Kluyveromyces lactis: one gene and its partner. The protein of the gene in region 1 purifies or fractionates together with the protein of each later gene. This does not show direct contact. Links are inferred from orthologs where the notes say so. Each region holds a gene or a part of one and is shown in the gene's direction. Other genes may lie near its edges.

Region 1 (2,725 bases):
CAGTAGGAGGCTCAGGATACGATGATGCATGGTGAGACAAGACAACAAGAAAAAGCTACCACAATTATCGTGAAAGGCAACGATTTTTCTATAATTCATTGACGAAACACAAGGCATATATTCCTTAATACTAGCATACTCAAAGGCACTAGCAGCATCTGCTACCATCCAATCTACCACGTCCGTTCAAAAGTTGAACGGTCAAAAATGTTTCAATATCTCTATCTCTATATAGAATGTTTATTTCCATCGAAAGTGTAACTATTAGACAAAGACTGGAAGCTAAGCGTGTTTCTCATGGTTCCATTGGACACAGTCCTCGAACTTTACAAGGGATCCACCAAAAATATCAAGAGCACTACCAAAGGTCAAATCAATTTTGCCATGACTCAATTTCTCTACTAGCCTTAAATCATCCACACTCTTAGCGCCGCCTGCGTATACGATTTTCACTTTTGGAATATCCGCAGTCCATTTGTACAAATGAGCCACTAGCTCTTCATCAATCCCATTACATAGACCCTCTACATCTGCTGCATGAACCAAGAATTCATCGGTATATTGACAAAGATCAGCGAAAGTTCTTTCGTTTAGCTCCAAATCAGTAAGGGTCTGCCATTTATTCATAGCAACGACCCACTTTGGCTCTTGATCCGGTTTCGTGACACGTTTGCATGAGAGATCTACCACTAAACGGTCCTTACCACATATTTCAGCCAATTTCACCAATTTCTCACGTTGGAACTGATATGTACTCTTATCGAAAAGAAAAGACGTTACTATAATCTTGGAAGCATACTTTAACCAGTATCCACAGTTATCCAGGGTGATACCACCACCTACTTGTAAAAAATTAGGACATTCGTTCAATGCTTCTAATGCTGCCTCATCGTTATTGGGACCCAGCTTAATAACGTGACATCCCTCGACCTGATTCTCATGGTATAGCTTCGCATAATGAGAAGGTGGTAATTTCGATACGAAATTCGTAGTAACTTTATCTTTGGACGAATCAGTAAGCGTACCACCCACGATTTGTTTCACCTGCCCATCGTGCAAATCAATGCACCCGACAAACTTAGTCATTGTAGCCTGGTGTACTTTGCTTACGTGCTTTACATCAGTTGACTCTTGGTCTTGCCCAGGTAATTCTTGATATCCATTGAATAAAAAAGCACGGTGAAAAATTTCGATGCGCGATGAGCTCTACATGGTCATCACATGAACAGCACCAGATGCAAATAACTCGACCCAAACAAGATATCGCAGGCTCCAACAACATGGACGACGAGTATATGAAACAGCTAGAAGCTCAGCGTCTTGCCTTTGAGGCACAGTTTGGGACTCTGGAGAGCATGGGCTTCGAGGACAAGACCAAGAATGCACATAGCGATGACGATGACGATAATGTTAGTCAGTCTGAATCAGAGGACGAGAAGGAAAGTGAGTCTGCATCTGGTTCTGACACATCGTTCTATGGGTTCGACGAGATAGAGGAGTCAGATCTTGAAGAAGACTTGCCTGAAAAGAAGCAACCCGTCAGACAACCAAGAGTGGTTAAATTCCAAGAAGAACAAAACGAATACAAACCTAGCAAGAAAGAACAAAGGTTAATACGAAGCGGGAAGGCCCCAACGGTACGAGCCTTAGAGACAGCGGGTCAGAATGCAGCTGCAGATTCTGACTCGGATTCTGATCAGGAGAGAGACAACCTACGAAACGATATAGAATTACAACGGTTCCTAAAGGAATCGCATCTCATCAGTGCGTTCCAAACTGACAAAGATACAATACACGATTCCGAATTGCACGGCAAGGCTCGTGCCAGAACCCTAGAGACAAGACTTCAATCGCTGTCCCAGATCAACGCGGTGCAGCACAAGAACCTCGAATCGATGCCCATGAACATACGGAAGGGTATGATCAAGAAGCATACGGGACGTATCACTAAATACGAACAAGAAGCACGTGACGCAGGAACGGTGTTGTCACGTGTATCACGCGGAGAGTTCCGTCGCATCGAGTCCACATACAAGAACGACATCGAGAGACGTATTGGACGTGGGAAGCTAAAAAAGAGATCGGGTGCCATTAGAGACTTCGGATTGAAGGTACAGAGCGTGGGTCATAGCACTCGTAACGGATTGAAGTTGAGTGCTGCGGATATCGCCAAAATAAAGGGAGCAAGTGAAACGACGTGGCTTGCACGTGCTGACAAGAATTGAGATCGGGATTATTATATAATTTACAAGCTGCATATATAAACGGCACCGCACGTGCGGTACCAGCTATTCAATCATTCATTCAATCAATCAATCAAATACAGAATTGTGGAGTCTCTGAAGGGGCCTCTAAGGGCCCCTTCTGTGATCTCCAATTGAATCAACAAGCAATCATTTCACAAATCACCTACTTACTCACGATTTGCCTAGAACCCAGCTTCATGTAATCATGTAATCGGAAATTTCAGACCGTATTTTATCCCTCGAGCCAATTCCAATAGCATTCAGCTTAGATATTGCCAGAGACAGGCCAAGTAAGAATAAATGTAGTCATCGCGAGTTGACAAAAGGGAACATATATATATGTCCCACGTGGTGTTACCCGGACCCCAAACAAGCAACGGACGTCAGTTTTAAAATGCATACTCTGGATTGTAACCACCCCGTTAAACGTTGGGAATTGGCCAGCCCAATTCCCAGAGAGGGCTGCTAGAGTGCTATCC
Region 2 (3,121 bases), on another chromosome or scaffold:
GATTGTCTGTGGCAGCAATCTGTACACATCTTAATTCGTCCAATGGTAAAGAGTCTCTAGGAATTTTAGTTGGAGTGGATTCAATTTCGTTGAGGTCACCATCTTCATCATCATCACTATCATTTGCATCCATATCTTTCAATTTTTCTACAGCTCCGCTAGTGTCTCTACCCAAAGCACCTGAGTCGTTAGTCCCCCACGACCAGATGTTATTGTCAGCGTCTAGCGCTAGGGTGTGCATTCCACCTGCAGCAAAAGACACAATTTTAGCCTCATCACGGGGCAAAAGGGGATTGAGTCTAGGTCTCTTAACTTCTTTGTTTTTAGCTAGAGGACCCAAGCCTAGTTCACACATTGATCCAGTTCCCCATACAAAAATGTCAAGTGGAACAACAGATCTATACAAATGTTTATAATCATCTTGAGAATTGATGCTAACAAACTTATGATTCAAAGTAGAGTGTAAATGCTTCCTTTTAACTGGAGTGTTCGCTACACTAGAAGATCTTTTAGACATGATTTCTTCAGTAACTGGTGGTCAATTAAAAGATTAATTGGAAGGGCCTAGTCTAATGTTAATTGTAACTTTGCTAAGATTGCAAGGAACGAAAAAAACGGAAATGAACACTTGGTTTTTGATCAATCGATAAGTACAACTCAAGGGAGAAGCTTGAGTGAACAAGAGACCAGCAATGTGTCACCACGCATATGAGATCACATTACACTTGATCCATTGTTAATTATATATACGTAAAACGAATCTAAGCTGCAGTTGAAAAATCTTTCCAGATTTTAAAGTCACGTGCAAAACAAACAACATTCTTTGCCTGTAATCATTAGAAGAACATAGCTCTTGGCTGTTTACAGTAGCTTGAATTTGTGTTCAACGCTGTGGCATATCTGTTTCAATCACGACGATCCCGCTGCCAATGCTCCAGAGTTATTTAATTGAACCTTTGACTTCTCTAAACAGAGTATCTCTAGCCTTTCTTTTTCTGTCCGTGCATTGACTGAAAATTTTTGGGATTTGAATAAGTAACGATGAGATGAGAAGCGATGAGATGAGATGAGATGAGATGAGATGAGGTAAATGGCAGATAACAATCACAAAATTACTCATTAGTGTCTGCTTTAGTGCTCAGAATACGACTAGTGATACAAGATTTATTTGTTCTACGGAGAAAATGGGTAAAGTAATGGGTGGCAGCGGTCGTAAACAGAGACACGATCCTTTATTGAACGATCTTGACTCTCAACATGGTAAGTTGAAAAGACAAGGTAAGAAAAAGATCGATGCTAAGGATCAAAAAGGCCATGAAGATGAAGAATTTGTCGATGCCCAGCAATCTAGAAAAATTTTGCAATTAGCTAGGGAACAGCAGGAAGAATTAGAGGAAGAGGACGAGCAGTCTCTGCAGACATCCAGCCAAGGAATAAACAGATTCTGTGTGGCCAACTATGCGGATGAAGATGATGTAGCTGAGGAAGAGGAAGCTCAAGGTAATAACATATCTGACTTTGAACCGGAAGATGAAGACGATTTCGAAGGATACGAGGAGGAAGAAGTGGTAGAAATTGACGAAGAAGATGCTGAAATGTTTGACCAATATTTCAAGACTTCTGCTGATTTCAACTCTGCCAATGGATCATATAACCTTGCCGATAAGATTATGGCTTCTATTAGAGAAAAAGAGATGGAACTACAGTATAATGAAGAAGAAGCAGGTGATGCCTCTGCAGTAGCGGAACCAGCTGCACCTGTAGATCGTACAGAAGGTGTCGCCTTACCACCCAAGGTGATTCAAGCATACCTTGCCGTTGGTACCATTATGCAGACCTGGAGACATGGTAAACTACCCAAACTATTCAAAGTTTTGCCTTCTCTAAATAACTGGCAAGATGTTCTCTATGTTACTAATCCAGAGGAATGGTCTCCGCATGCTATATACGAAGGTACTAAACTTTTTGTTTCTAACTTATCATCTAAAGAGGCCCAAAAATTCGTTATAGCTGTGTTGTTACCACGCTTCAGAGAAGAAATTGAATTTAACGAAGATCACAACTTAAATTACCATGTCTACCGTGCATTAAAGAAATCATTGTATAAACCGGCTGCCTTTTTCAAAGGGTTCTTATTCCCACTTGTGGAATCCGGTTGTAATGTTAGAGAAGCTACCATTGCTGCAAGTGTGTTATCCAAGGTCTCTGTGCCAGCTCTTCATTCTGCTGCAGCATTGTCCTACCTTTTAAGATTACCTTTTTCCCCAGCCACCACCGTTTTCATCAAAATTCTACTCGAGAAGAAGTATGCTTTGCCTTATCAAACTGTTGACGAATGTGTCTTCTACTTCATGAGATTCAGAGAAGTCACTGATGGAAGTACAGGCCAAGATGCCGTCAGAGTCTTACCTGTGGTATGGCATAAAGCTTTCTTAGCGTTTGCTCAACGTTATAAGAATGATATTACCCAAGATCAAAGAGATTTCCTACTTGAAACTGTTCGTCAAAGAGGTCACAAAGAAATTGGACCTGAAATCAGAAGAGAATTATTAGCCGGTGATAGTAGAGAATTTGTCAGTGATGTTGGTAATAAAGCTGATTTAATGTTTGATGTTCTGTAGTCAATAGTCCTATAACAATATAAGTGCCTGTCAATTTTAAACAAGTGTATAATATGCAATTATAGATAAGACAATCAATAGAATCAATCTATTCGATAAGTGGAAACGGTATCAATTAATTTCATCGAATATTCATGAGTCTATTTTGTACTTTGAAGCTTTTGAGTGAAGCAGAGCCTTTATCTAAATCTTGGAGATTTTAGCGGAAGACACTCATAAATCTGGAAATACTTTTATTACAAGATAGGTGACCAATAGACCAATTATAATAAACGATAAAAGTCCTAACTTCATTAAAAATCCAATTTTTTCATTGTGATACTTTTTCAATCTGGATCCGAGTGAAGAAAGGCTCTTAGAAGTAACATGCAATCCGATTTCTGCTGCCTTAAGAACAGTAGAGTCGTGTTCGATAGCATTCTGGAAAGCTTCCGCACCTTGTCTTAAGCCTGAAACTAGCTGGGACATGTCTTCAACCAGTTCCTTCTGAAGATCATCCT

Evidence for each region.
Region 2: the proteins of FAF1 (region 1) and ENP1 purify together in Saccharomyces cerevisiae (affinity purification with mass spectrometry; 4 studies listed by BioGRID). This does not show direct contact. The link is inferred for Kluyveromyces lactis from reciprocal best matches to the Saccharomyces cerevisiae genes FAF1 and ENP1.

Annotation. Positions count from the first base shown.
Region 1 is NC_006040.1:1,360,119-1,362,843, reverse strand, and holds FAF1 (Faf1p), read left to right. Parts: upstream 1-1,199; coding exon 1,200-2,225; downstream 2,226-2,725. Other genes in the region: DNA-directed RNA polymerase II core subunit RPB3, read left to right, coding at 1-35; 1-(5-phosphoribosyl)-5- ((5-phosphoribosylamino)methylideneamino)imidazole-4-carboxamide isomerase HIS6, read right to left, coding at 283-1,086. UniProt on the Saccharomyces cerevisiae protein: Required for pre-rRNA processing and 40S ribosomal subunit assembly. Seems to act in the processing of 35S rRNA at the A(0), A(1), and A(2) cleavage sites.
Region 2 is NC_006042.1:637,427-640,547, forward strand, and holds ENP1 (snoRNA-binding rRNA-processing protein ENP1), read left to right. Parts: upstream 1-1,184; coding exon 1,185-2,621; downstream 2,622-3,121. Other genes in the region: SRM1 (Ran guanyl-nucleotide exchange factor), read right to left, coding at 1-517; SNAP receptor USE1, read right to left, coding at 2,835-3,121. UniProt on the Saccharomyces cerevisiae protein: Required for normal export of the pre-40S particles from the nucleus to the cytoplasm.